Diceros bicornis minor: one gene and its partners. The protein of the gene in region 3 interacts with the protein of the main gene of each other region in a biochemical or structural test. Links are inferred from orthologs where the notes say so. Each region holds a gene or a part of one and is shown on either strand. Other genes may lie near its edges.

Region 1 (7,324 bases), on a different chromosome or scaffold from region 3:
TATGCCACTGGGCCGGCCCCCAGTCTTCCTCTTTTAAAGACCCTTGTGGGGGCCGGCCCCGTGGCTTAGTGGTTAAGTGAGCGCACTCCGCTGCTGGTGGCCCGGGTTTGGATCCTGGGCGCGCACCGACGCACCGCTTGTCAGGCCATGCTGAGGCCGCGTCCCACATAAAATGGAGGAAGATAGGTACAGATGTTAGCCCAGGGCCTGTCTTCCTCAGCAAAAACAGGAGCATTGGCATGGACGTTAGCTCAGGGCTGATCTTCCTCACAAAAAAAAGTAAATAAATAAAGACCCTTGTGATCACATTGGGCCCACCTGGATGATCCAGGCTACTGGCTCCATCTCAAGATTCTTAACATAATCACATCTGATAAGGTCCTTTTGACATGTAAGGTAACATCTTTATAGGACTGGGTGGTTAGGACGTGGCTGTCTTTGGGAGGTCATTATTCTGTCTACCATAGTTTGCCTCTATAGTATTTAATGGTGTGGTTGCAGTAACACTGATACATGATTGCCTTCAGTTAGCGTTGTAGCAGAAGTAGTCCCCACAGGAAGTCTTTGTGACCTTCTCTCCCCAAGGCTATGAAAGCTCCACAGAGAGGATGTGCTTCCATTTTCTCAAGCTGGAGACCAGGCTGCATTCCACACTGGGCTGCTGTGTGCCTTCCTGAAGCTAGCGTTCCCCATACTCAGGATTATTGCCTTAGCATAGGTCCCAGGAGCAGGTTTATGATTCTTACTACACATTGCCTAATTGCTTTCCAGATTGTATCAGTTTATACAACCTCTCCTGATCGTTTGGCTTTCATAAAAAAAAAAAGTTCTCTTTATAGTAAAGATATATTCTCATTAAAGGACATATGGGAAATCCAGAAAGAGCAAAAGGAAAAAAATCACTCATAGTTCCATAAATTGAAACACAACTTTCACTAATACTTTCTTTCCAATATTTCTGTGTGGATGTATATAAAATTAAAAAAAAACATGGATATGATATTGGAACTTCTTGGAACTATTTTAGATCTAGGACACTTCATGCTTTTGGATATGCAGGAGAAAAATTTTTATTGTGTTTATCTTGGGATGGTTTCCATTCTGTTTTCCTGGTTGACTTTTGTTCTCCACGTCACCCAGAACCTGGAGGCCTGGCCAGGTCCTTCCCTGTGTGATGAGTGTCAGCGCACAATGTGGGGACTATGGCCTGGGATTCTTGATCACGAATCCTCAATCCTGACTCCTCTTAACCAGACTCTAGTCTAGAAATTGGTTAGAAAGGTTAGGTTTTATGACAATTCAGCTTTATAATCCAATTCATAGATGCTGGTTACAAGCAGAATGTTTTTCACTTTAAAAATTAATTTATGTAAATTACATCTTCCATTTCTACTTTCATAGACCTCATCTTCAGGTTCTGATTATTTGGCAAAGACAGTAAAGAGGTACAGGGACCTCTGGCCCTGAAAAGAGAAGGGTGGGAAGTGTTTCAACATAGGTTCTTAGGAAGGTGATTGGCTGCTTTCCATCTTGCTAAATATCTATAGTAGAAGCCCTATGGCTGTAAGTTAGATATAAGAAGGAACTTCCCTAAATGAAATATTCTTACACTGGTCACCCACTCCAATACTAAAAATAAAAGAAAAATCTCAGTTTTCCTGGATGTTGTACATTGTTCTGCTTGAAGAGAGGAGGTGAACTGAGTAAGGACCTGGAAGGAAACCTAATCAGAACTGGACAAAGTAAAAAGTGAATTTTTCAGCACAGACAGCTGCAAAGCACAGGGAGTTGCCTGAGGCATGGCTAGATCCCAGAGCATGATGTCCCTAGGACCTAATCTCTGTCTCTCTTTTGGGGGCTGGCTTCATTTTCAGGAAAGCGGTTAGGTGTTTCAATAGCCCCAGGATTTCTGACTGGGTCTCATTGGCCCATCCCTGTAGCCAGGGGAGTGCAATGCTCTGATTGGTCAGGCCAAGCCACAGGGCCACCCCAAGAATGGCCCTGGAGTCAGGGATGGAGACAGTTCCATCAAAGCTTGTGGACTGAGAGGAGGAGGAGAAGAGTCATTCCCCCAAAGAAAAACTATTAGACCTGACATGGGTTTCTTAGGTCAAATTTGCAAGAGGACCTGATTGGCTGGTCTTGGGCCAGTGTCCACCCCAGGCCAATCAGCTGTGGCAGACAGAGTGGCCGTTTGGCTGGGGGTGGGGTTGGTAAGCCTGGTATGACAAGCTGCCTTTGCTCAGCTCTTGCCTTAGGGTTGTGGTGCTGAGGGGTCAACACTAGGGCCTGAGGGCTTCCATGTCCCACCGGATTTCTTCACTGTTTTCTGAGTGCTTACTTGTTAAGTGTCCCATTTTAAACTCACAACAGCCCTCTGAAGTTGAAGCTGTTAGGCCTGTTGCCCAGGGTAACACAGCCAGTAAGTGACTCAAGGGGGCTGAGGTGATGAATCTGAAAGCAGCATCTAGGGGAGCCCCAGAAGGGACTCAGAGCAGGTGGGGCATGGGGAACTCTCCCCAGGTGGAGGGTCCTGAAAGGGGGGGTGGCAGGAAGGTGTGGAGGGGAGGGAGCACCTCAGACATTTGGTCTAAGTGCCACTTGGTTCTCACTGACCCAGGGCGCAGCATCTGATTCTAGCTTGTATGAGGTTTCTGGAGCCCCATCTTCCCGCAGAGCCACCTGGTCCTGCCCTGCCTCCCTGAGGTCCTGTCCTCCAAACTCTGCCTCACTGCACTCATGGGTGACGCAGTGGCTTTCCCTGCCTGACCCTCTCCTGGAGTGGGCTGGGGCCTTTGTGTGCAGCGTGAGGACCACCAGGTTGGGAAGCCTGGAGTCCCCAGTCAGCCATAGAACAGCTCAGGGGCCTGGGGAGAGTTCTAGCTTCGGTCCTCCACTCTCCAGGACCTCAAGGGATTTAGGGGCTCCTCCTCACATTTTCAGTCAGATCTGAGCCCCCAAAGGGCCCAGAGCACTCTGCCCGCACTGCCTGAATAAGCTCCCTTCTTCTCAGCACCCCGCCCCCACTGAAACACCAGTTGCCACTTTCCCATTTAAGCTGCCGCCTCTTTCCAGCAGTCTGTCTTGATTGCCTCTTCGCTCGCCCCACTTGCCTACTGCTTTAATTTGTGCCGCCGCTGGTTGTGAGCCAGTGTCCTGGCGCCTCCTCCACGGGGTCTTAGCCGCCTCAAGCCTTGGAGAACGTTTGTTGGCCGAAGGCGAAGGATGTGCAGAATCTTCATCCAGCCACGAATTTATTAATTCTCGAAGTCGGCTTGGAGTGGGCCTCACGCGCGATGCCAGAGACACCCAGTGAAGGAGACCACCCGTTTAGGCCTAGCAGGGAGACTCCACACGCTTTAACCCAGCTCCGCGGGAGGCAGGCCCTCGGCCGGTGGGAACCTGCGTTACCTCGGCCCGCCGGGAGACCCAGCAGAGGACGTTGTTGCAAAACGCAATTTACTTTTTTTACTTCTCAAAAACTCCGAAAATGGCTGCTAGTAGCTTCGCTACGGGGCAAACTGTCTGCTAATCTGGAATGCAAACTCGGCGCACAGGGAGGTTTTCCTGGTGCTTCGCCCCCGGCCATCGCGGGGCTCTGCAAGCCGCGCGCGGCGTGAAGAAGGATCGGAGGCTCCGGAAACACTGTGTCGGGAACCAGGAGCCAGGAGCCGAGGAGCAACAGTCGTGGCCGCCGCTCTGCATCCGCGCCGCCTCGGGCGCCCCGGCCCCGAGCCGGGCCTGGGACTGCCCCACGGGCTCGGAGCCCGATTTGACAGCCCGCGCGGGCTTTGCTGGGGGACTCGGGGATCACCTCGTCCACCCAGGCTTAGGCCCTGGGCCAGCGCCACCCGCCACATAAACTCCCCCAGCAGGGGAGGGTTGTTTTCCAGCCCCGAGGCCGAGCAGGAGGCCCAGGACCCCGCGTGTCTTCTCTGAGCGCAGGGGACCCCGGGCCACCGCTCAGCTAACCGAAAGAGGCCCCCTCCTCGCCGAAGGCTTCAACCGGGCGGGATTTCCAGCAAAGGCCGGACACGCGTGTCCCTGCGCACGCACACATCGTGCGCACGTCAGCCCCCGTCGCCCCGTGCCCGGGCGCACGCAGGCACTCCCGGGCCCCCGCACACGCCCGTGGGCACACGCGTCCGCTGCGGGCACTAAGGAGCCCGGGGAGGTAAGAGCGCAGTTCCGGAGCAGGAAGCGGCCCGGGGCCCGGCCTGGGCGGTGTCCCGGGCGGGCCCTGGGGGTGGAGCTTGCCGGGCCGGGCGCGCTGGGTCGGGGCGGGTCCGCGCCGCCGCCGTCCGCGCCGCCCCGCCCTCGGCCCCGCCGCTCTCTCGGCTCCTCGCGCTGCAGCCCCCGCCGTAGCCGCCGCCGAGCCCGCCGCCGCCTCCTCCAAGGTAGGCGCAGGAGACGGGCCCGGGCTTTGCCTGCGTCCCAGGCCGCAGGCCGGGCTCCTGGGGAGCTGAGGGGGAGGAGATGAGGGAGGAGCGGGCGAGGGCGAGGGGCCCCGGGCCGGGCCCGAGGGGGGAGCGGGAGCGGCTCACGCGGGCTGCTTGGTCAGCGGAGGGCCGAGCAGGCCGCGCGGGCGGGCGGGCGGGCGGGCGGCGAGCGGGCCCGGGCGGGAGAGCGGGAGGACGGACATCCGGAGGCGCCTGGGGCTGGGGGCCAGAGCCCGCGGGGACCTGCGGGCGGAAGGGCACGGGCCGCCGCGTGGAGGCCGGGCCGGCTGCAGATCTAGGTGACCTTCCCCGGCGGTGCCCTCAGGCCCTCGGTCCCGCCAGCGCCGGTCAGGCAGGGACTTTCCCGCTACCCACGCTCGCCCGGCCGGGCCTGGCCCTCGGACCTGTGCGGGCCACACCGTCCCGGTGGGGATGAGCTCATGTGACCACCGTGGCCCTGCGCCCCCAGCCGCGCACGTCCTGTCCGGCCTGCCCGGTCCACGCCCGGAGAAGCTGGCGCCCGGCACTGTCCGCGCGTGCCAGCGCCTTCCGGGGCGGAACGGCAGGCCGAGAGCCGACTTAGGCCGCAGGGGCCTGGGCTGGGGCCTGGGCAAGAGGTTAGGCCTTGGCGAAGGGGGCCCCTCTGGGAGCGCCTTGGCCTCCTTGGCCTTTGGAAGTATTCCCAGTTTGATCGTTCATTCATTTACTAAATGTGGTGGTGCGCTCATGAAACTGGTCCAGAGCCCTCTGGATTTGAGGCCGCAGCCCTAGTGACTGTCCAAGGTCACGCAGCTGGGAAGATACTAAACCTCAGTTTTCTCATCTGTAGAGCGGGAGCAATTATACCTCTTCCTCACTGGGTTTTAGGAAAAATAAAATGACTTGATTAACGCGAAGCTTTTAGAACAGTGCCTGGCAAGGAGCAGGCCTCTGTAGAAACCTTGGCATGCACCCTTGAGGCTTTGGGGAGGGTCTAGCCCATCCCCTGCACACCGTTTTGCTCCACGTGGTGTTCTGGAAAGAGTTCAGTAAACGTAGCCCTGTTATTTTAAACATTATTATTAAGCATTTGTGTGCCAGGCGTTGAGTAACTTGCAGATAATTCGTGAAAAATCCTTTAAGTTCACAGACAGACAAGGTCAGGCTGGAGCAGGAGGTTGAGTGTGAGTGCAGACCTGGGCTAGGCCTGGGCCTGTACCACCTGAGGCCCGCATCCCCTTGACCAGCTTCCCCTCTCCAGAGAAGAGAAGGAAGTGGGCTCCTCCTTTGCCTAATATGCTGTTGACAAGGCCGGGGCCGACTGCCGAGGGCCTGCCTCCTTTCTCTCCACCCAGCTCTGGACTGACCCTCTGGACAGGGTCAGGCTTAAGCCCTCTGCAGCTTTGTTTTCAGTGCCTGGGGTAGAGCCACCTGGCCCACAGTAGGTACTTAAAGGGTCTTTGGGGGTAAATGCACTCTTGCTTTTTGTCCAAGAGTCGACTCTTATTGACAGAAAGGTAGTTTTACCATTCCAGCATGTGGCTTATAGTAGGTGCCCATTAAGTGTTTGTGAATGATTGGATGGGCATGTGAAGTGGCGGCAGGCCTGGGCCATGGTCCCTTCATCCTGGACATCCTTCTTGAGGGACACACGCATCTCACTCACTTCCAGAAAATAATAGCCTTACGTAGCGGAGAATCCCAAATATTTAAGAGCTGCAATGGTATGTGCAGCCCTAGAGCAGTGAGAGGCAAACTGTTTCCTAATTTGAAATAACTGCTTTAAACACATTATCTTCATTCTGTGGCTTTCCAAGTCCTGTGGGGAACTTGTTGAACTGGTGTTTCTGGGCTTGCAGGGGAGGTGACATGGGCGAATGGGATTCTCTTAAAGGCCTTGGGCCTGGCGCCTCTTCCGTCTCTGATGGTGGGTGGGTTGATGGCTTCTGCTGGAGTTGTCCTGAGCAGGTTTACAGGAGGACTGTAAATGGGGATGGGGACGGGGGACTGCTCTCAGTTGGTTACTTAGTTTTATTCCTGCTGTTCTATAGGCTATAGGCAGGGGCTATTTGTAGACACAAACCCAGGGGCTCAGGGGGACCATATGGTGAGGAATTGCCTGTGGGCCTCTGGTCCTGCTGGACATTATGCAGATGTGGACCACGACCTCCAAGCTGGTGGTAATGAGGGCCCTTCACCCCCACCTTTACTGGTTAGATACTCCTGAGGCACTGAAGTCCACTTTACCCTGGATGGACTTTCTCACTGTGTGATGTCCTTGGTGGTCGTGACTGAGAGAGGCGTGTGTGGGGCTGAGAGCCAGCCCAAGCCTGCAGGCTGCCCCTCAGGGTGCCTAGAGGGCCTGTAGCCTTGGGCTCCCCACACACTCCTCTGGTAGTCCCTGAAGAAAGGTGACCAGTGGGATCCTCAGCGGGGCCTGGGCACAATCCTCCATTTCACTGCTTGCTCTCAGGGGGGTGGGGGTGAGTGGGCACTTACACCCTTTACCCAGAACTGTGCTGGAAAGAGTCCTGGAGAGCAGATGGAGCTTGCAACACAGCTCTGACATGAGCCGTAGGGTCTAGTACAGGTCACGTTGCTTTCTTGTTCCTCAGTTTCTCCACTATAGAGGTGTGATTGTCATCATGACAGTCATTCTTTATTGAGGGCCTGCTCAGCACACTCCTGGGGGCTTGACGTGTTGTGTGACATTGAATCCACCTTCCTACAAGCCTGGGGAGAGGGGTGCTATTGTTTCCATTTCAGGGGTTAGGAGGCTTGAGCACGGAGGGGTGAGGTAAGCACCCCAAGGTCACACAGCTCAGTGGGAGTGGAATTGGGATTCAGGGCTGGGTCTGGCTAGCTCCAGTGCTGGTGCTTTCACACTGCAGCTGCCACTCCACGGG
Region 2 (7,367 bases), on a different chromosome or scaffold from region 3:
CAAAACTGTCCCTAGCTGAGAACCACTGGGCTAGAGTAAATAGCTAGAAATGGAACCACCAGGTCATAGAGCACACGCATTTTCAATTTTTCCAGATCTGCCAAATTGTTTTCTAGCATTTATCCTCATTTACCCTCTCAGTATAATTTCAAGTCTAGTGATTCGCTTGTGTAGACTAAGCTCGGTTGCCTTCAATAAAGTGATTATTGCTGGAGCAAAGGACGCTATGTCTGAATTTTCACAGCAGGGGTGCGTGTTTAACCAACCCCATCTCTTGTGACTCCAGTAATCACGGCATTAGGTTTTATTTAAGTGAGGTTTACCCTTCTCGCTTCAAGTATTGATGAGACTATAATTATGGGCTGGTTAATTTTTTCTCTCCTGCTGCGGACATTTGTCTGCTGTTCCCTCTTTACTTGCAACAAAAAGGTCCTTAAGAGAGAAGTATCTAATGAATAATTTGGAGATCCCTGGAGGAGTTAGCCCCTCTTTTCAGGTATCAGAGGGTTAAATAGGATACATGTGAGAGAGGAGAGCTGTCCTGCTCCCGGTTTATTGAATGGAGGGGGCTTTCCCGGGAATAAATGTGATGTAATTGAATATTGGACTCACTGAAATCTGAATCCTCTTCTTCTCCCAGTGGGTTTGGGTCAGGGTCCCAGTTCTGTTGCTTAAGTGGATACTTAATAATCCTGATATATCAACAAGCACTATAACTAACATTTACTGAGTGCCAGGCACTTTGCTAAACACTTGATACATTCTCTCTGAATCCCCACAACAATCCAATGAGGAACTATGATTATTACTTCCATTTTGCAGATAGGAAAATGGAGGCTCACAGAAGTGAAAAATATTCCCAAGGTACCTAGCTATTGCACGGCAGGGCTAGGGTTCAAACCTAAGTCTCTCTGGCTTGGAGTATCAAACCATTCTGCTATCACACTGACTACGATTCGAGAACTCTGTTGTTCCCCAAACTGACTCCTGGCATCGACTCTGGCCCTGGCATTGATACATGGCTTCAGGAAACACAGCTGTTTGGAGGAGGTCACAGCTGTTCATTCATTTACCACTCCACCAAGCCACACGAATTAAAACAACATAAGGTAAGGCTCACTCAGTCTCAAACACCAGGGTAGGTAATTATTGTTTTAATTAAAGAAAAGAAAGACCCCTCCCATTCCCGCTCAAAACACTCGAGTATTGATTTTGGTAGGAGGTATGGGAATGATTTGGGGCAAGAATTTTTTTATGTTATTAATGATAACAGTTCTATGTACATCACAGTGCATGTCTGAAAGACAGAAAGACAAATCAGGATGCTTACCATTCATTCATTCATTCATTCATTGAATCTTTCTTTCAACAAACATTTATCTGCTATGAGCACCTGCTATGTGCTAAGCCCAGTTTTAAGTACTGGGATTCCATAGGGAACTTGCATGGACTAGAAAAATCTGTCTTATCTCTTCACTCTATGAGAGAGAGGCTGCGCATCCTTGCAACTGGTAGGGAAAGTTTTCTCTGAATAAAGGTATCAATTGGATTTCATGAACTATTTCTCAAAATCATCCCCTAAAACTCCTCCTCCCTTAAAAGCCTCCCACGGGACATGGAGGAGAAAGAAGGGGAACACAGGAGAAGTCCTGGAACTCAGCCCTCTTCAAGAACCCAGAAAAACGCCCAAGAACACACCCGGCAGTAAAAGCGGCCATAGTCTGGTGACTATCTGCTTCTAACTTCCCTTCTAGGACATTCTGCCCCTCACATTGCCTCTGTATTCATTTGCTAGGGCTGCCACAGCAAAGTGCCACACACTGGGGGGCTCAAACAACAGAAAGTTATTTGCTTACAGTTCTGGTGGCCAGAAATCTGAGATCAAGGGGTTGGCAGGGTTGGTTTCTCCTGAGGCCTCTCTCCTTGGTGTGAAGATGGCCATCTTCTCGAGCCCCTGGTGCCTCTCCCTCTTCCTATAAGGACATCAGTCATACTGGATGAGGACCCCAATCAAATGACCTCATTTTAACTTAATTACCCCTTTAAAGACCTTGTCTCCAAAAACAGTCACATTCTGAGGTACTGGGGCTTAGGACTTCCACGTAGGAATTTGGGGGGAGGGAGAGGGCCACAAGTCAGCCTATAACAGCCTCCCTCTCACTTCCCAAGTCCCCAGTGGTGACATAATGCTAAAGAGCACAAGCTCTGGGGGCCAGACAGTTGTGTGACCTTGGATACACTAAACACTCTGCTTCAGTTTGCTCATCCATAATACAGGACCAATAACAGTACCTGCCCTATTACATAACATTGTTAGGAGGGTTAAATGAGTTAATATGTCTAAGGCACTTAGAACAGTGCCTGGCACAGAGTAAGCACTATATAAGTGTTTATCAAATTAAATAGTAAAATCAAAAACTCATTTTAACTAAAGTGTTACGAGAGCATTATGTTACTCTCCCACAGAATTTGCTTTTTCTGGACAATACTTAACATGAGTGACAGAATCGCCAATTCACAATAGGGGAACCATATATATTTGAGGGTGCAGGCCCTCCAACATTCTTCGAAGCACACTGCTTAGCGACTCTATGACCTACTTTAAAATGTTAACAATAGCCAACATTTATTAAATGCTAAGAATGTGCTGGACACCACGTTGAGTGCTTTATAGGAATGATCTTATTTAACTCTGTGAGATAGGGGCTATTATCCCCATTTTACAGTTGAGGAAATGGAGGCTCCAAAAAGCCTCATCTCAAGGCGAAGTTCCCCAGCTGGTAAATAGGGGGACAGGGCAGAACAACTCCAGTGTGAGCAAATGAGCGACTATCAACTGCAGAGTCGGGGAGCGAGAGGTTTTCTCTTTCCCCCTACTTTTCCATCACCCCCTTCTCTTCTCCCTCTGCTGAATGACACGTCCCCACGGCCAAGGCTGCACTCTCTCTGCTACAGAAAACATCCAAGCGGCTGGGACCGGACCCAGCGCCACCTTGCGAGTCCAGCATTTTGAGGGGCAGGCTTCCAAACAGGGTAATAATCGTCCCATTAAAATTAATGTCCATGAAGTGAGCCGTTAAAAGCGTGCAGATTAAAAAGGGGGGGGAGGGAATTGTTCAATTTAAATCCAAGGGGCTTTTTAAATAGACACTGTATCTTCATTCTTGGAACGCTCCACTGGGCAATGGATCAGCTCCCCTCTGCAAAGACTAGGGGGGATTAAGGAGGTGAGTCCCAGGAGAATGGGGAAGTGGTTCTGGCCAGAAGCAAAGGGAACCAAGGTTTATCCAGGGCCCACTGCATGCCAGGTGCCTGGCATACATTTTTCTCATTTAATCTCTGCCCCAATCCTGGGAGGGAGGTATTATTATTCCCAGATTACAGGGGGCAGTATAAAACCGTGGTTAAGAGTTTAGAGCCTGCGGCAGACTGCCCTAGTTTAAATACAGGTTCATTCTGCACTAACTCTGTGAGCTTGAGCAAGAGGCCTTACCTCCCTGTGCCTCAGTTTCCCCATCTGTAATGTAGGATAGTAATAACACCCTCTCCTCCTCTAGAATTGTTGCGAGATTTACTCTAGGCAGCTAGGCAGAGACCTTAGCCCAGTAACCCACAAAGAAGGCTAAGTAAGGGAAGTGTTGATCATGGTTAAAGGTAGGAGAACCGGGGCTGGCAAGGGCCCCTGAGATCACACAGCAGAGCTGGGATCTGAGCCGTGAACATGCTGCAGGCCGGGGGAATCTCTCCTCGTAATAAATCCAGATCCAAACGAAGTTCATGGTCTTGAATCTTTTCCAAGTGACCAGAGGACTCATTAGGCCTCAGCAACACTCTGCCCTGGGTTGGAGAGAATCAAAGCTTCCTCATCAGGTCCCAGACCACCACCTTGAGCCACCTCCGGGCTCCTCCGGTCTTCTGACTCCCAAACTGATCTGAATCCCAATGGATTTAAGATCGGAGATGGTCATTCTCTCCCAAAGAATCCTGAAAGCCGCTCGCCCATCTGTACCTTCACTAGCAGGGACAACTCCAGACCTTCTAGTCTGAAGGAACATAGGCGCAGCCTTTGGATTGCACAGAGAAAAGGGCTCAAGTCCCCAGCGTCCCTCCCGCCACCGACCCCTTAGGGTATCCACCGCGCATTAAATCGGGATCGCCGCTAGAAACTATAACCCTGGCAGGAAAATAATATTCACAAAGGAAGGAGACAAAAATAAGTTTCCCTCTAGAAAGCCCCTTGGGAGGGTCTTTTGGGTGCGAGTGCGGCGCGCAGCGAATGCGTGCCTCCGCGCCCCGCCGGGGCTAAGGACCGACCCCTCTAACCCCTCACCGGGCCTCCAGCAAGGTTTCTAGCCGCGCTGGGGGCGCGATAGGGTCTGGCTCCAAAGCCCAGAGCCGGGTGGGGGCGTGTGTCCGGTGTGTTCAAATCCGAAGCCTACAGGTGCCTAGTCAGACCTGAAAGTAGGCAAGTTGGGTTGACACTGGCCCTCTCGTAAGATTTTGGATCAACCCACCTCCCCAAAACGAAACAATAGCCTCGGAATATTTTTGAATACAGCCGAATTCGATACCAGCTTCATCCAAAACGGCAAACGATCCTGCTTCCGTCGCCAAATCGGAACTGGAGCTGAATTCAGGAAAAAGAGGACGAGGAAACATTCGCTGGCGCTCCACGCCTCTGCGGGGGTCCCCCGCGACCCCCCAAGCCCGGGACCTCGGCGGCGGGGTGCCTGCTCGCGTCCAGCGCGCCGCGCTGCCCCTCCCCCAAACCGCGCGCCCCCTCGCTATCGGCGCTGCAAGGGTTAAAAGTTACCTCTCGGTTTCTTCTGCCTGCAGCCCCCCCCCCCGGGGCCGGATGATGTAACCCCCCTCCTCGAGCCCTCCCCGCCCCCCTCCACCATGTGACACTTTAATTAATAATAGCGCCGTCAGCACAACAAACGCACAACACAAGGAGAAACTTGGTGTCCAGGGGAGGCCCCCGGCGGCTGGAGCGCGGCGGAGGCAGGCGCAGAGGCCGGAGGAAGAGGAGGCGAGGGGCGGCCCGAGCGCGGGGAGGGAGCGAGTGGAGCGGTCATGTGCCCGTGCCCCCTGCACCGCGGCCGCGGCCCCCCGGCCGTGTGTGCCTGCAGCGCGGGCCGCCTGGGTCTGCGCTCGTCCGCCGCGCAGCTCACGGCCGCCCGGCTCAAGGCGCTCGGCGACGAGCTGCACCAGCGCACCATGTGGCGGCGCCGCGCGCGGAGCCGGAGGGTGCCGGCGCCCGGCGCGCTCCCCACCTACTGGCCCTGGCTGTGCGCGGCCGCGCAGGTGGCGGCGCTGGCGGCCTGGCTACTCGGCAGGCGGAACTTGTAGGAACGCGGGGCTTCTTGGTGGGGCCGGAGCCGAGACCCAGCCGGAGCGAGCAACAGGTACGCGAGCGAGCGAGCGCGCGCCAGGGCGCGGTAGCTGGGGACTGGAGACGCTGGGCCGGCCTGGGAGCGGGAGCGCGGCAAGTTTGGCTTTCTTCTCTTCCCATCTCCTTCTTCCTCTGCTCCCTTCTCTCGCAAGGATCTCCGTCCCCCTCCTATCCAGTTCCCTTCTCTCCTTCCGAGTGTCAGGTCCACTGTTTCTGTCCCCTTCTCTCGGAATGCTTAAGCGCATCTTGCCACTCCCTCCAGTGGGGTGGCTTTGGGAAGACTTTCGCCTCCATAATCCCCACCAGCCCCGCAAGTAAACACACAATACAAGTTAAAAAGGGTTCTTTCTATGAGAACGTAGTTACAAGCCACGCAAATAATTATAATCTATCGCCGTTTCTAGACAAGTCCCCCGTCCTCTTCCAAGCCTCCTGCTGGTCCTAAGTCGCCGCCATCTCCATCACCTCCGCTCCAAACCCTCTTCTTCCTAAGTGTCACTTCACTTTCTGTTCCCCAGTCTCTGGGTCCCCGAGTGCATCTCGCGACTTCCTCTCCCTCCAGGTTCCTAGCTGGCTGTTGTTCTCCCAAGGCCCGCGCACTTGGCAGTTTTCCTCCGCTTTGCCAACTTTTTCACTCCTTCTCCAGCGAGGTGTCCCGTTTAAGGAGCTTGGGTTCCTCTTCACCAGACGGTTGGGACTGAGATGAAGAAGGAGATGCCCCCGAAGTGGGCTGGGATCTGAGGCTCTTAGGGAAGCTCCAAGGGGAAGCCTTAATGAAAGAGCATTTATTGAGCGCCTTCTGGATGCTAGGCCCTGTTTAAGGATGGAATGTTTGAGAGCTTGCGGTATGCTAGGCACTGCGCGGTGGTGGGGGTGGGGAGTGAGTATGGAGCTCCTAAGTGTGTTTGGTACCAGTGGGAGAAAGGTATTGAGCATCTACTGTGCACTAGGCCCTTGGGGTTGGGGAATTATTGAGCACCAGCCGTGTGCCTGGCACTGCGCTAGGCGCTTTGGGCGAGCAAACGTATAAGGATCATCTTTTCAGATTCTGGAATAGAGAGGAGAGCTACAGAGAATGGGGGTGGAGAGACTCAGGCTGAGCCCACCATAGGTGAGTCTGGGGCCGAAGGTGAGGGTCGAAGGTGAAAAAGCCAGCCACCTTGGGATGCCACGGGTCCACGGATGCCGCGCGCTCGGGTCCGGCGGAGCGCCCCGGTGCGCCGACACCCTGGGAAGCTGGCGCGGCGCCCGCAGGCGAGACCCGAGCGTCTGTGCCCGCGGGGAGAGGCGGCAGCCGGAGCGTGGGGGGTGGCAGCGCCGGGGGAGCTGCGGGGGTGCGCGGGGTGTGAGCCGGGAGCGCGGGCGACAGATGTCGCGTGGGCCGGCGCAGCCCGGGCGCCGGCGAGGAGAGGTGCGCGCTTCGGGGAGCTCTCCAGCCGGCTCCCGGAGGTCCCATCCGCTTTTCCCCCTCCAGAAAGAGAGGCCCGGGGCTGCCCTCAGCCGGGAAGGGGCCAGGCTGGGGCTGCCGATTCCCAGGCACAGGAACGACGTTTTAAACGGGACGCAGGCGGCAGAAAAAGGGAGTCGAGGGAGAGACGCGAAGCCCAAAGCGTGGAATTTAGGGAAAGGCGGAAAGAAGGTGGGAGGAGAGGGAAAGGAAAAGCGGGCGGCGAGACAGGGAAAGAAAGGAGGATGAGGCAGCTGGAGAAAAAGAGAGACTGCCTGGAGAACAAGTTGCAAGACAGTGGGAAAGTGAATCAGAGGAAAGATGGGAAGCGAGAGGAATCCAGTAGAATTGGAGAGCGGGGCTAGGACACGTCTTCCTCTAGTCTTGGGTCCATGTGAGACTGGGAGAGCGCTCCCTTCCCAGGATAGGGCGGTGCGGGATGCTGAGCGCCCCACCCAGGAGGCGGAGAACGCCCGGCCAGGGCCTGGCTGTGTGTGCGCGTCGGGTCTGGGGGTGCGGGCCCGG
Region 3 (7,182 bases):
TCAAACTATATATAAATGGAATCATACTGCATTATTCTTTTGCATTTTTTTCATGCAAAGTATTTCCGAGATTCTTTCATGCTGTGTAGCCAAATCCACTTATTTTCTTACTGTATCATATTACTATATATGAACATACTCCTATTTGTTTAACCGTTTTGCTATAATGGACACTTGGGTAGTTTCCAAATTTTTGCTATTACAAGTAGTGCTGCTATAAACATTCTTATACCTGCATCTTGCACATGTGCAAGAGTTATTTTAGGGCATATATCAAAGAACAGAATTGCCAGGTCATAGGTCATGGGCATTTTCAACTCCACTAGATAACAATAATTTTTTTTCCGAAGTTATTTCACATTCTTGAACCACACTTGATTTGATCAGATTTTCTCAATTTTGCCAATCTGGTGAGTGTGAAATGGTATCTCACTGAGGTTTTAATTTGCATTTTCCCTGATAACTAGTGAGGTTAAGCATCTTTTCAGGTTTACTGACCGCTCTGGTTCCGTTCCTCTTTAGCATCTGTGCAAGGGTTTTTTTCCATCTTTCTTTTGTCTTTATCATATTAATTTCTCAGCCTTTTTCGTATGTATGGTATTTAGAGTTGAGATCACATCACACATCTACTTTTGTATACTTTTATTTTTGTATAAGCGTTTCCTCATTGTCTAAATCTCAGCAAACATGTTTTTAAATAGTGTTTTCTAATTTAAAAAAATACAATCATGTTCGGATAATACAGAAAAGTATAAAAAATAAAATAAAATCATCCATAATTTGACTACTCAGCAATAACCACATTTTTGCATTCTGGTATAATTCCTTCTATATTTTGCATGTAATGTACGTTTTTTATAAATTAGAATAATTCTCAGTAAACCTATTTTTTTTTTTACAAAGTATTATGTTTTGAGCATTTTTCCATGTCATTAAATATTCCTCAATTACAATTTTAATGTGTGAATTTAACCCATTTAACCATCACCCTATTTATTGAAATTCTCAGTTTTAATTTTTCTTTCCTGTGTTATAAATAATCTTGCATAAACATCTCTGTGGATAAATCTTTGGCTGTATTTCACTTCTTTTCTTAAATTAGATTCCAATCAAAGATCATTTCTCAATGATCTTTCCAGAGCTGTTTTTAAGGCTCTTGATAAATATTATAAAGTTCCTTTCCCAAAAGACTCTATCCCTCTTTCCAAAATATAAACCTCTCCATGTCCTTTCTGTTCAAAAAGCCTGGTAGGCTCCTCCGGTACCTATTTAGTGTCCTGCGCAGTCGAATACACACATACATTCAGTCTCCTCCACCACATTCTACTCTCAGCCATCCCACTTTATTTCTAGGACACACCATGGGCTCTTGCATTAAACCTCCGTGGCTTTGCTCAGGTGGTGCCTTCCACCTAAAATGCCCCTTACCTCCTTTCTCTCCCAGGCAAAATCCTATTCTCCCTTTAAGGGCCAGTTCAATAAAAACCATGTTTCTGGGCAGAGTTGATCTGCCCTCTGCTGGGCTCCCAAAGCACATCATAGACTTCCATAAGGATAATTTTCACATTGAAATAATTGTGACACCACAGGTTTTAAAAGTGGAAATCAGATCATGTCCTGCCCAGTTTAAAACCCTTCCATGGAATATAATAGAAAGTTCAGAAATTGACCCAAATACCGTTGGGAACGTAGATTATGACAATGGAGACATTTCAAATGAGTTGGGAAAAGATGATAATATTGAGATAACTAGGTAGTTATTTGGAAAAATTTTTTGGATTCCTGTCTCAGACCTTAAAACAAAGTAAATTTATGATGGAACAAGGATTAAAATGTAAAATATGCAACCATGTAAAAACTAGAAGAAAACAGAGAATTATTTGTATAATATCAAACTGGAGAGGGTCTTCCTAAGAATGGCATAGAACCCGGAAGCCACAAAGGAAAAGACTGATACATTAGAATACATACAAAATAAAAGTTTTTCCATGGTAATAAATAATAAACTGGAAAAATATTTACAACCTCCATATAGAAAAAAAGGATCAAATTTTCTATAAATCAATGAGTAAAAAGTTCAACAGAAAGCCCAACTGAAAAAAGGGCAAATGAAATGAACAGAGAATTCATTAGAACAAGACTCCTCCCCCAAAAGACTCACAAATATGAAAAATTAGTCAACTTCACTCTTAATAAAAATAAAAATAAAAAATGAAAGTGTCTCCGTTTTTATCTATCTGATTGGCAAAAATAAAAAGCTTTGATAACACTGTATAGTTCAGGATGTGAGGAAATAGGCACTCTCATATTTTATTTGTGGGAGAACAAACTGGTACAACTCCTATATAGAGCACTTTGCCAATATCCATTAAAACGCAACGAAAACATTCTTGTTTATTGGTGATTCCACTTCCAGGGATTTACCCAACAGATAAACTGCCACATGCAAAATAAGGAATGGACAAGTTATAACTTTATTCGTAATAGGAAAGGACTGGAAACTACCTAAGTATTTCCAAATAGGGGATTGGGCAAGGAAATTATGACATGTCTTTACAAAGTTGTGCATTAATTTAAAAAATTGAGGCAGACCCAAAATACAGAGCTCATGGAAAAAGCAAGATGTGAAGTGTTTATAGCAAGCTACCATTTGTGTGAAACATTTATACACATAAATTTGCTTGTGAACACAGCAACCATCTCTGAAAGACTACAGAAGGAAGGGGTTAAGAGTGATGACCTCGGCCAGGCCCCGTGGCTTAGCGGTTAAGTGCACACGCTCAGCTACTGGTGGCCCAGGTTCGGATCCCGGCGCGCACCGAAGCACCGCTTCTCCGCCCATGCTGAGGCCGCGTCCCACATACAGCAACTAGAAGGATATGCAACTATGACATACAACTATCTACTGGAGCTTTGGGGGAAAAAAAAAGGAGGAGGATTGGCAATAGATGTTAGCTCAGAGCCGGTCTTCCTCAGCAAAAAGAGGAGGATTCGCATGGATGTTAGCTCAGGGCTGATCTTCCTCACAAAAAAAAAAAAAAAAAGAGTGATGACCTCTGTGAGGGGAACAGGGGACTGGAAAGCAGGGGTGGGAAGAGGACTTTTTCATCCTATGCTCTTTGGTATATTTTTAATATTTGGTGTTCCTGTATACGTACCTATTTTTAATCAATTACATTAACATAAAATAAAACACCTTTCAGTGTTTAGAATCAAGCGCAACTCACTTCCATGGTCAGCTTTCCAACTTCCTCTCACACCGTATTTGCCCTCCCTCACTACCTTCCAGTCACATTGCTTCTGGAACATGCCAAGACCTTCCTGCCTCAGGACATTTTGCACAAGCTGTTCCCTCTGCCTCTGTTGGTGTTCTCTAGGCTCTTCCCATGAGTTGGCATTTTCTTATATTTCAAGTCTTGTGTTCCATGTCATCTCTTCAAAGATGCCATCCTTGGCTACCCTGCAAAACAATTGTTGAAAAAATGCCTCCCTCCCTCACTGGGCACGGAAGGCTGGGCTTACTTCCCTGAGCCTCAGTCTAAAGCAGCACCTCTCCCTTCACCCTCTTTACAACAATGCCCTGATTTATTTTCTTCATAGCACTAGTCACTATTTGAAATTACCTCGTTTGTGTAGTTTCTTAGTTGTTTACTGTCTCTCTCCATCTCAAGGGTTTAAATCTCAATGAAAGCAGGGACTATGGCTTGTCTTGTTCCTAAATCTACCTTCAGCAACCCAAACAATAAACATTTGTTGAGTGAATTTATGCAGCACATCCTATGGACGGTGCACTCTTCTATGGACTTTACAAATAACTCTTTTAATCCTCACAACAACGCAATGAGGGAGGTTGTTTTTTACCCATTTTAGAATTAAGGAAATTGAGGCACACAGCAGTTGAGTGACTTGCCCAACTGGCAGAGTTGGAATCCCAGACGCAAGCTTGTTAGCTACAACGCGATGCTTTTTCGATCTATAAACTGACGGATGGATGAAATTGACTGAATGGAAACGTGAACGTAAACGTGGATTTTTTTTTGCGTCTCGGGATTCCCCAGCTCTACAGCAAGGGGGCGCTCTCTCCCAGGTCTTGACGCCAGTCCTCAAGGCGCGCACTCCCTGTGCGTCTCGGGCTCGCGCGCGCTACCGCGGCACCGGAAGTGACTGAGCTTGCAAGTTCCCCCGGTCTCTTCAGGGGAAACTGAGGCCGGCTCGTTCGGAAGAGACAGCGCGAGCCGTCAGCCAGGTAGGCCGGCCCGGGTCCGCGGCGCGGAACTCGGCCGCGAAGAACCCTCCCGTCTGGAAACGACTTGGCCGATGAAGGGGGGATGTGGCCCCCCACGGCTGGCGGGGCGCGCAGGTGAGAGCGCCGCCTCCCCTACGCGTGGCAGGCGCTGCGCCCAATGAGAGCCCTCGCCGTTCCGCTTCCGTGCCGTCTGGGCTCGCTGATTGGCTACGCTGGGGCGGGCCGCCGGGGGCGAGACCCCTCCTCCCAGAAAGGTCTAGGGGGCGCCCCTGAGGGAGAGCGGTTGCCTAGCAACGGGGCGGTGGCCCGGCGGGTACCCGGCCCAGCGCGCGCGCGAAGCCGCGAGGCCGCAGCCCACCCACCGCGGCCGCCGGAGAGGTGCTGCCCCCGGCCCCCAAGCCCTCCTGGGGGCGGCACGAATCTGCCTTGGGCCTTCTCCCAGGAAAACGTGGTCTTAGCCGTGGGGGGCCTCGAGCAGGCCTCGACCCCTCTCCCTGACCCGAGGAGAGGCCCGGCGCCTCGCCCTCAGCCGGTCTTTGTGCAGGGTGCCGGCGGCCATTGTGTCCGTGCCGGGAATGGAGGACCCGGCAATCCTCCATTGCCACCGCCACGTCCAGGGCCTTTGGGGAATTCAAAGAAAACCGGCGGCGTTTCTGGGAGGTCCCCGGCCTTCAGCCTCCCAGAAAGGCCTGGGGATGGCCTTTCCGAAGTCACACCGCAGATCCGAGGCAGTTTCCCCCTCCCTCCGTCCCTCATCGAAACCTTGAGCCCCATTGAGAAGTCCCTTCAGGGTTTCGGAAGCCTCACCCTGGGCTGGTACTTAAATAGGAAAGAAAAAAAAAAAAACAAAAACAAACCCTAAACCCCACACCAGCCACCTCCGGGAGAGTTCTCCTGGCTCCCAGTAGGAGGCGGAGAGCCAAGGGGCGTGCAAGAGCGAGGGGGCTGGGCTCCCGGGTGGCAGGAGGCCGCGGCTGCGAGCGGCCGCCCTCGATCTGGGCGATGGAGGAGGAAGCAGGCGAGGGGGCCGGTTCCTGAGCTTCGTAATTCCTGTGTCGCCTTCTGGGCTCCCAGCCTGCCGGGTCGCATGATCCTTTCAGCCCGAGCTGGTTTTTTTGCCAGCCGCCGCGAGGCCGGCTGAGTTACCGGCATCCCGGCTGCCACCTCCTCTCCCGACCTGTGATACAAAAGATCTTCCGGGGGCTGCACCTGCCTGCCGTCGCTTGAGAGGGATTTGAATGTAGGTGGTGCGGAGGCGGGGGTAGGGGCCCGACTGCCCAGGGGGGTGATTTTCCGAGGAAGGCATTTCGGAGAAAAAGGGGTGGCTGGCGTAAAAAAGGCCGGTGTGATGATTCAGAGCCCACTGGTGCTTTCAGTTTGACTTCATTGAAGTCTCCTGGAAGCTAGACCAGACCTTCAGAAGAGCCACAAAGAAACCAGTTCTGGTACCTGGAGGGGGAATGGGATGTTTGTAGGGTAAATGGCATGCATATTAATTTTTTTTTCCTGAAGCTCTTTCTCTCCCTTCAGAACCTTATCTTGGCTTTGGATCTCAGAAGAGAAGCACCAAGCAGAGACCAGACTCTGTGAGTGAGCAGGTGTTTTGGACAATGGACTGGTCGAGCCCATCCCTATTATAAAAATGTCTCAGAGCAACCGGGAGCTGGTGGTTGACTTTCTCTCCTACAAGCTTTCCCAGAAAGGATACAGCTGGAGTCAGTTCAGTGATGTGGAAGAGAACAGAACTGAGGCCCCAGAAGGGACTGAATCAGAGATGGAGACCCCCAGTGCCATCAATGGCAACCCATCCTGGCACCTGGCGGACAGCTCCGCGGGGAATGGAGCCACTGGCCACAGCAGCAGTTTGGATGCCCGGGAGGTGATCCCCATGGCAGCGGTGAAGCAAGCGCTGAGGGAGGCGGGCGATGAGTTTGAACTGAGGTACCGGCGGGCATTCAGCGACCTGACATCCCAGCTCCACATCACCCCAGGGACAGCGTATCAGAGCTTTGAGCAGGTGGTGAATGAACTCTTCCGGGATGGGGTGAACTGGGGTCGCATTGTGGCCTTTTTCTCCTTCGGTGGGGCACTGTGCGTGGAAAGCGTAGACAAGGAGATGCAGGTATTGGTGAGTCGGATCGCAACTTGGATGGCCACTTACCTGAATGACCACCTAGAGCCTTGGATCCAGGAAAACGGCGGCTGGGTAAGGACCACGCCCCTTGTGTGTCCCTTTTCCTTGGCCTTTGGTCAGAGAGATCCCCAACAGCCTCTCCCCTCTATCTCTTTATGTTGTGCTGGGTGATTGTTGGAGATGTTTTTTGTCAAGGAGATGTGAGTAGCCTCATTGCACCACAAGAGGTTAACTGTTCTGAAATACAGATGACCCAGATCTTGAAGGACCAGGCATCTTTCATTCTAGTCACCCTCATGACCCCACTCTTTCATACTTGTGTTCCAGTTTCTCAGAAGAGCAAAAGACAGCCTGTGTGTTCATTTGGCCCAAAACCTTTGAGAGTGGGAAGTTAGTCCACTGTTTCCCTCCCCCTAATATAAAGGCTTGCCACGCAAAGGGGGGATGAGTACAATGCCTGGAGAAGATAGTATCAGTGACCCACAAGCTCCTCCATTCTTACTCCCCCGGGATGTCAGTCCTGTCCTGGGCTTCCCTCCCCCAAATCAAGTTCCCTTTTTTTCAGGGTTTGCATACATGGTACTCTCCTCTCAGAACAGGGCATGGCCAGGCAGGAGTTCCCCCTGGCTTGGATGGCTGAGGATGGTCTGATTTTAGGGCAATGTAAGCTGTGCCAGTGGGGCAGTTGTGTTTGTGCTGCTCGCCTATGGTCATTTGCTCTGAAGTGTGCAACTTTCTGCATGGTTGGCCTGTTTGCGGAGCTCTTGCTGTGTCACGCATTAGGCCTGGGGACTTTGCACCT
Region 4 (8,018 bases), on a different chromosome or scaffold from region 3:
GGGGAGGCTCAGCCTCTCTGGGAAGGCTGTTTACCCTCAGTTCTCTAGTTGCAGCTCTTCCCGCCACACCCTCCTCCCGTCCCCAGTTTCTCTTTGAGCTTGGGTATAGGTGTGCATATGAAGGTTCATGTTTGGGAAGAAAGGGTGTGGATATGCTCAAGGATCCCCCCAGGGATTGTATCTGCACCTCCAGCCCTTGGTATGGAGCCTAGCACACGGCAGGTGCTCAGGATGACCTCACACCTGGGTGACTGAGCCCCTCCCTCATTGCCAGAGAGTGACCCCCTCCCACTCCAGGACAGTGGGGGTTAAGGATGTGGCTGGAAAACAGCTGATCCAACTCACCTTCTCAGAGGAGCACAGATTCAAAACCTGGGAGACTCTATGCCCAGAAGGGACCAGTCCCCAGTTCTTCCAGGTGGCAGTTTTCCTTGATAGCAATTGATCATTCTCCGGCCTCACCTGGAAATTTCTGAGATTTCCTTACTAATGCCAAAGAGAAGTATGTATTGATGTACTAATGTACCTTTGCCCAGGAAAGAGGCCGCATCCTGGGGAAAGTGGAGTAAAAGGAAGAGTATTTTGATTGGATTTCTTCATTCCTTGGCAGAATACAGCCAACTTCTCTTCCAAGGGCTGGGCATGCTGAGCTCTGGGTTGGGCAGGAGGTGGGGGAGAGAGATGCTGAGGACACTGCCCTAAGGACCATGCTTGTAGTTTTTCTGTAAATCTATGTCCACAAACTTAGAGAGTTCCATCATGTGCCAAGCCTGAAGAAGAGGGGTGGTCTGAGGGTACCAAAGGGTTGACACATCACCTTTGCCTTTGAGGGGGAGGCCCTGCTGGTGAGAAGAAACTCAGGCAAGGCCAGCTATCCCTAGCAGCAAACACAACGTAGACAGGACGTTTCTGGAAAATCCTCCCCTGCAGCTTTTTTCCCACTCGCCAACCAGAACTATTCATATTTTTAAAATGTGGAAATGTACACTTATTCAGTCATTCAGCAAATATTTATTGAGTGTTCCCCCAAACAAAACCGAATATGTGCTGAATGTCATAATTCGTGGGATCCTGGACCACACCTTATCTTTCAGGTTGCACTGGGCTTTACCATGGTAGCCTCAGTCTCTGCATTTCCCTATGCACGCAGGTCTCTGAATTCCCAAATGTTTTCTCTTCAGTACCTGCTTTTTCTGAGTCCCACTGAACCAGTGATTGGCAAGTAGTGAATTCATCGACTGGGAAATCAAGTCTCTCCACTTGCTTACCCAATTAGCAGAAGCCCATCTGTCTGTTCTGGTATATTTTCTCTCTCTCCCCCCTCTCTCTGTGTCTCTCTCTCTGTGTGTGTGTGTCTCTCTCTCTCTCTCTCTCACACACACACACACACACACACACACATTCTGTAACACAGAAGACAGGGACTATTCCTTTGCAGACAGATGGAATAATGCATGGAGAGATAAATTCACTCTGTTAGAGCAAGTCCAGTGAGGGAAGGATACCAAGCCTTCCAGGTTCCTGGTCTTTCTTATGTACACAATCCCTCCTGGAGGGATTTAAGAGGCAAGGGGCTCCCCTACCAAGACCCCCACCTTACCCATAAATCAGTTTCCAATCTAACCCCTCCCTGGGGGTTGAGTTACAAACCTCAGTAACCCCGGGGCAGCCTGCCTGGTAATTCCTATTATTCAGCTGTCAGCTGGTTTTTTAAAAACCTCCCTTCCCAGTGATCCAGTTACCGGAGTTTCAGAGCCCGTTCCTTGTCTCAGGGAGAAATCCTATAGCCAGGTGAAACAATGGAGAGGGCTCCTGCTTTCTAGAGGGAGCTTGGGTTTTCTCTTCTGTTGAAAGCAGCCTCCCCTTAACTCTTTGCATCCCTCCCAGATTGCAGGGCAAGGTCTGCAGGCCTCTTTCAGGCTCCCACACTCATGCCTTTCAGAGCAACTTTCCTTTCTCTGGGCAAAGTTTTGCCTCCTTCTAGAGCCAGCACCAGCCAGCAGAGGAGAAAACAAATTGGGGCAAGGGGTGGGAAGAGAAAGAAAGAAGAGATTCTCCAAAATAAAGGTTGCTGCGGCTGCAATGTGCTCCGAGCCCAGTCAAAAGCCCAGGGTTCATCTGTTCGTAGGGTGCTGCTGTTGGTCGGAGGCTCCAAACCCCAATCTCCAGCCCAGGGGGTCCTGACACTGCTGAGTCTGCCCTGTGCCAGAAGGAGAGAAAGGGCCCAGAGGGAGGAGTCTGCTTTGACAGCGATGAGAGGTGGAGAGTGAGGCTCCTGACCTCCCTGACCCCTTTATCCCTGACAGTCTCTTCTGGTCCCTCCAGCTCAGAAGGCTGGGCCCTGCTGCTTGACCTTAGAGGCTGAGAGCGCAGGAGGCCAAGCCACCGGTGTCCTTCAGAACCAGCCTGAGGGAGCAGGCTGGGAAGGCCTGGGAGAGAGGTCTTAGAAGAAACGTCACTAGAGGGTGTGACCCTTCCCCCATCTTGCAAACTGGCCAGACCCACTAAGATGATCCCCTCTGCTCCCCCGCCCCATTCCTCTAACTGATGACTTTTAACCCTTTATAGGGAAAACTGTTGCAAGCTATGGAGCTACCCCCCGCCAAACAAATGTTTGTGTGAACCCACAAAAAATTTAGCCAGTTTCAGGGGTTCACAGACCCTAAAGCTGAGGAGACCCTGGTGAGTCTGGTGAATACGTGGATCCCAGGTAAAAATCTTGCTCTACCACCTTCCTTGCCTTGTGGACCCAATTCCACCCTGCAGGGCTGTGATGAAGCAGACAGGGCTTTAGCAGCTCCGGTGGGTCAGCAGAATTAGGATGACCCCTGTCCCCTGGGGCCTGTGCTGCCCCACAGGACAGATTCAGAGCTGCTTTGCCCATCAGTTCTACTCTTGATCCTAATGATGCTCATAGGCCCCACGGGCCAGCCTGAGACACCGGCAGAGGAGGAAAGCCAATAAGAAGAGACGGATGGGGCCGGCCCTGTGGCATAGCAGTTAAGTGCGTGTGCTCTGCTGCTAGCAAAAAGAGGAGGATTGGCATGGATGTTAGCTCAGGGCTGATCTTCCTCACAAAAAAAAAGAAAAGAAGAAGAGAAGGATGGAAGGAAGGAGGGGAAGGAGGTCTGTGCGTGGTGAACATGGTGAAGGCTCCTCTGTGCCCTACACAGAGGCTGGGCTTAGTCTCCTTATCTCCCCATGTATGGCATGAGTGCAAGGTCACCCCAACCAGCTCTGACACTCCCTCTTGGCCAAGCCTCCCGGTAAAATAATATACTTCCTTTTGGCTTTGGCAGCTCTTTCTAGACATCCATCGACTCCTGGGGGGACTCGGCTGCTGGCGACCCTTGACTCTCCCTTCTTTCCCTTTTCCCTCTTCTCCATCCTTTGGGGACAGTATTTTCTTATTTGAGCAACCACAGTCCTCAATATGCCTGGTTCACTCTCCTTCAGGCACCTTTTGCAAGAGCTATGGAAAGAATGGGTAGGGAAAAGGTTCAAGGAGACTTCAGGCTCCTCTGGGCTAAGGGTCCCAGCTCCCTTAGCTTAAATCTGAGTTTATGACCCAGAGACAGCAGCTTGGTGGTCAGAGCACTGCCAGTCCCCACATCTGCTCGGGAGTCAGGGCCCATCAACGCTCACCTAGTCTGTTGCAGGCACTGGCTCCCTCTCACTGATTTCTGGCATTTTTATTTATCTTTCCTAAAATTCAGGCTTGGTCAAGTCACTCCTCTTCTATAAAATCTTTGTTCCTCTTTGCCTCCAGAATAAAGTACAGATTGCCCAGCCTGGCATCCCAGAGACACCTCTGTTTCTGACCTGACCCTACCTGTCCATGCCCACCCTCCCTGAATCCTGGTGTGCACCTGATGATCCCGTCCCCCAGCCTGCCCCTGCTACCAGGACAGGTTTTCCAGTTTAACAGTTTAATCTTCTACCCCCAGGCCTGGACTGTTTTATCTGGTTTTCCTTCTTGAAAAATTTCCCCATCCTTCAAGTCCCAACTCAAAAGCCATCTCCCAGTGTTTGCATTCTGAATTTTTCTGCGTCTCCCAGCAGTTATTATCCCTGGAATTAACACATTTTGTGCTGCTTTCCATCAATTTCAGTCTACCTCTCCAAGCAGACTGTCAGCTCCCTGAGTGCAGGCACCAGGTTTCTGGCACCTAGCCCAGTACCTGACACAATGTGGGCGTTCAATAAATGTTTGTGAAACAGCCCTTGATAGTACGCAATCGGCAGGACACGTTGCTCTCCTGGCAGCACCAGCACCATCTCTGGATGCTGCCATAAACAGGATGCGTGTCAACCGCCCAAGTAGCCCCTGCATTCTTGATCTCGCCTCTCCTCAGCTAGACGCTTCTTTTCTGAGCGTCCAAGCCCAGTCAAGAAGAGGATATGAGGGTCCCTTTGGACGTGTTTGATCTGAATGTCACTCACTAACAGCGCCAGATACACGTGTTCTCACGCTTCCTACAGCTTTGGGGCTGGAGTTCTCTTCTGACCCGCTCGGCAGGCGGGAGGGTGTTTTGCCACCAGGTCGGAATCCACAGGGACACGCACCTTGCATCCACTGGATGCCGCCAGCCTCGTCTAAAAGGCTCGCCGCCTCCTCTTCCCCTCCCTTTCTGGACGCGCGTAATTATTCAGTCTATTCCCGAGAAAGACAAGACAAAAGTCTCTTTGGCGCCCCCTCTCTCCATCCTAATAGAGAGGACTCAGGGACTCTCCAGCGCTTGCCGAGCCTGCGTTAGGAATCTGCGCGGGCGACGGCGCTCCAATTGCGTTTCTGGAGGGGGTAGGAATTTTGCTCGGCCCCTTGCAATGTTTCCAAAGGAAGGTTCGTACATTCGTGACCGTCCCTGGCAGCCGCCCAGCCCGGGACTTGGGGCTCCACTTGCCATTGGCCAGCCGTCGGCGTGACGCGCCGGAGGCGGGGCCTCATCAGCTGTTTGCGGGATGCCCCGAGCGGGCGTATTTTGGAAACAATACCGCGCGGTACAGAGTGGCCTCCTCCCGCGCCGGCCCGCCCGCTGCCGCCGGCGCCCCGGTCCGCGCCTCCCGCCTTCTGCCGCAGCCGGGTGAGCGCCCGGGCGGCAGAGGGCCGGGCGGAGTTGGATCGCACCTCCTCGGGGAAGTGGGGAGAAGAGTCGCGCTGCGTCTGGGGGCCCGGGAAGGGTTGGGCTGCGGGCTTCTGGGGTGACCATGAAGGACTGGGGCGCTGGGGTGCGGGAATGGGGTGCAGAACCCACATCTGGGTGCGTTGTTCCACGAGGGAACTTGGGGGTTCTAGCATTTGAGACTCCGAGGCGTTGGGTCCAGGTGGGCAGGGTAACCTGCGGTGCACTGTTGAGCAGACCTGGGCGCCCAAGAACGGCCCGGCCTCTGGGTCTGCCTTTGGGGTAGGGCAGGGAGTTGTGGGCTGTGCTGCCTCCCTGCAGAGTCTGAAGGCGCCTCTCCTTAACAGCTGGGCTTTTTCCCTCCTTCCCAATTGAGTCTGGGCGCCAAGCCCCCAAGTGCTCGTCACGCTGGACCCTGGCGCGGAGCCCTGGCATCACGACTCGGAGGCCGAGACTCTCTCCTGGAGTCACCCAGGTCTGCTGTGTGTTGTGTGAGTGCGTGTGTATGTGTGCGTTCCCAGATTTTAGTCGCTGCCAAGGTTCAGAGTGTCTGGCTACTGCCTTCTCCTGGGAGGAGGAGTCGAAGTTCAGCATCCCTGTTAGAGCCCTCAGGGGCTGGGAAGGCTCCAGCGGGCTTTAGTTCCCCTTGCTAGGAATAAAGCCTTCCCTGGCAGTGTTCTTAGGAAGTGCCCTTCTCCCACCAGTTTTGATATCAGCTTTTCAGCTCAGGGGAAGGAGGGGGAGAGGGTCTCTTGACTGTATCCCAGCTTACACTTGACCTTGCCCAGCACCCCTCCGGAGGCACCCACCTACAGAAGAGCCACCTGCAGTTCCTGTGGAGAGTGGGAAGGGTCCCCTGGGCTTGCAGAGCCACACCCTCTGGCTGCACCTCCCCCACCGTCCAGCCAAACAAGGGTTGAACTTTGGGGCTTTGCTGGGAGGGGGAGGGGGAGGTGACGGGCTTCAAAGGAAAAACCAAGACAATGACTCCTGCTTGTGATTGGCTTTGGAGGGCCCCTTCTTAGGTTGGGATTGCCAGCTTACAGAGAGGAGGTTGAAGGGCAGGAGGGGAGCCCCTGCCAGTTGACTGGCAGGACAGCACTTGGTCCTTTCAGTGGGAAACTTTGTTTCCTGGTGCTGATAAACTGGAGTTCTCCCACCCACCTTTGGGAAACACTATCCAAAGAACACCGTGTGCCTGTTTTGCCATCCAAGTGGGCATCTCCTCACTCTCCAGGGAAGAGGGCAGAGATAGGACCATCGATAGCTCAGGGACTGGATGGGATGGAGGGAGGGTTGAAGCAAGTAGAGAAATGGCATTTGGGAAAGGCAGGATTTCTGAATTTAACGGAGATTGGTTTAAGTACTTTACCAACCCACAGACCATTTGGCTTGTTCTTCAAAGGCAAGAGACTGGGAGACAGAATTCCCAGGGCATCTCTAATTGAATCTGGCAGTGACAAAACATTGCCTCTCTATATCCTTAACCACTCGTTGCTGCTTCTGGCTGCCCCAGGGGCCCTAAGGGGTTCCTGGTGTGTGTGTAGGGGGCTGGGTTGGGAGCTCAAGTTGCTGGGTAGTTCCAAGCTCAGACTTCCAAGACCATCAGGTGGAGCAAGAGGAACTTCTTTATCACCAAGAAACTCGTATCAACAACCTAATAGTCTATGCTGGGAGTGAGGTCACAGAGAGAGGGCTGAATTTCACTTCCTTCTGTGAGTCAGGTTGTACCAATCTCAGGTTGGGCGCTGGCAGGAATGGTAGGCTGTGGGGAAAGATTTGAAGTCTGGAGACTCGTGAGTAGACTGAGCTGGGGGAGGCTGACTACTTTGCTGGACCTGCCCTTGAGTCCAGGCTGTGGTGGGCAGACAGCTCTACTCTGCTGAGAGGGTGGCTGCAATGACGAACTTAGGTCTTTTTCCCCTGTCTCTCCAAGGACACACTCTTACCACACCTCCAGCCTGTTTGTTGTCTTGAGCAAGCAGGAGGTGGAGACGAGAGTAGATGAGCAGCTGGGCGGGGCTTAGCAGGTTTGGAGGGAACCTGGCTGCTCTAGGATTGCTGGCTTTTGTTTTTGCTGCTGAGCCTGGAGCTCAGCTCAGACCGAGATGAGAGCTTGGTGGTTACTGCTCAGGGCAGTGTGTGTGTGTGTGTGTGTGTGTGTTGTGAGCACTGTGTGTACAGCCAGTCACAGCACCCTTCTGCCCTCCCACAGTCACTCACAGAGGCTTGTCTTGTCCACATTTCCCCAGCTACCCTTCGTATCTGTAGCAGCTGATCCTGCCCCTGCTGTTGCTCAGTCAATAGCAGCCAAACTTCATGACTGGGACTGGTCTGGGACAGAAGAAGAGGCTGAGGGGAGGGTTGGCTCTGGGTGGGCGCAGGGAAGAGGTATGGAGAGTCCCTGAACAGTGAGGCAGTCCACATCTGGGGGCGGGTGTCACTCTTGGCAGTGCTTGTCTGTCATCAGTACCTGGCCCCACTTCCCAAGATAAGAAAGGAGAGCAGGAAAGAAGGAAAAGGAGGGGATTCCTTCCAGGTCTGGTGTGAGTGGAGGCAGCATGCCCGATGCCTGCATTGTGCCCTGACAGGGGACATGGAGCCGCCTCAGTGTGTAGAGGAGCTGGAGGATGATGTGTTCCAGCCAGAGGATGGGGAGCCGGGGACCCAGCCCAGGAGCTTGCTCTCTGCTGACCTGTTTGCCCAGAGCCAGCTGGACTGCCCCCTCAGCCGTCTGCAGATCTTCCCTCTCACCCACTGCTGTGGCCCCGGGCTTCGACCCACCAGCCAGGAAGACAAGGCCACCCAGACCCTCAGTCCCGCCTCCCCGAGCCAGGGTGTCATGCTGCCTTGTGGGGTGACTGAGGAACCCCAGCGACTCTTTTATGGTGAGTG

The links.
Region 1: the proteins of BCL2L1 (region 3) and VDAC1 form a complex in vitro, tested with the Homo sapiens proteins (4 studies listed by BioGRID). The link is inferred for Diceros bicornis minor from reciprocal best matches to the Homo sapiens genes BCL2L1 and VDAC1.
Region 2: the proteins of BCL2L1 (region 3) and HRK interact in a biophysical measurement, tested with the Homo sapiens proteins (3 studies listed by BioGRID and IntAct, with this or other methods). The link is inferred for Diceros bicornis minor from reciprocal best matches to the Homo sapiens genes BCL2L1 and HRK.
Region 4: the proteins of BCL2L1 (region 3) and BMF interact in a test that uses a peptide from one of them, tested with the Homo sapiens proteins (2 studies listed by BioGRID). The link is inferred for Diceros bicornis minor from reciprocal best matches to the Homo sapiens genes BCL2L1 and BMF.

Annotation. Positions count from the first base shown.
Region 1 is NC_080740.1:53,195,626-53,202,949, reverse strand, and holds the start of VDAC1 (voltage-dependent anion-selective channel protein 1), read left to right. Parts: upstream 1-4,323; 5' UTR 4,324-4,397; intron 4,398-7,324. UniProt on the Homo sapiens protein: Non-selective voltage-gated ion channel that mediates the transport of anions and cations through the mitochondrion outer membrane and plasma membrane.
Region 2 is NC_080774.1:14,130,027-14,137,393, reverse strand, and holds the start of HRK (activator of apoptosis harakiri), read left to right. Parts: upstream 1-4,949; 5' UTR 4,950-5,076; coding exon 5,077-5,352; 3' UTR 5,353-5,408; intron 5,409-7,367. UniProt on the Homo sapiens protein: Promotes apoptosis.
Region 3 is NC_080758.1:27,765,811-27,772,992, forward strand, and holds the start of BCL2L1 (bcl-2-like protein 1), read left to right. Parts: upstream 1-4,164; 5' UTR 4,165-4,246; intron 4,247-4,257; exon of another isoform or gene 4,258-4,360; intron 4,361-4,644; exon of another isoform or gene 4,645-5,486; intron 5,487-5,579; exon of another isoform or gene 5,580-5,691; intron 5,692-5,758; exon of another isoform or gene 5,759-5,776; 5' UTR 5,777-5,888; coding exon 5,889-6,452; intron 6,453-7,182. UniProt on the Homo sapiens protein: Potent inhibitor of cell death. Inhibits activation of caspases. Appears to regulate cell death by blocking the voltage-dependent anion channel (VDAC) by binding to it and preventing the release of the caspase activator, CYC1, from the mitochondrial membrane.
Region 4 is NC_080744.1:38,022,416-38,030,433, reverse strand, and holds the start of BMF (bcl-2-modifying factor), read left to right. Parts: upstream 1-5,010; 5' UTR 5,011-5,084; intron 5,085-5,091; exon of another isoform or gene 5,092-5,470; 5' UTR 5,471-5,598; intron 5,599-7,714; 5' UTR 7,715-7,719; coding exon 7,720-8,011; intron 8,012-8,018. UniProt on the Homo sapiens protein: May play a role in apoptosis. Isoform 1 seems to be the main initiator.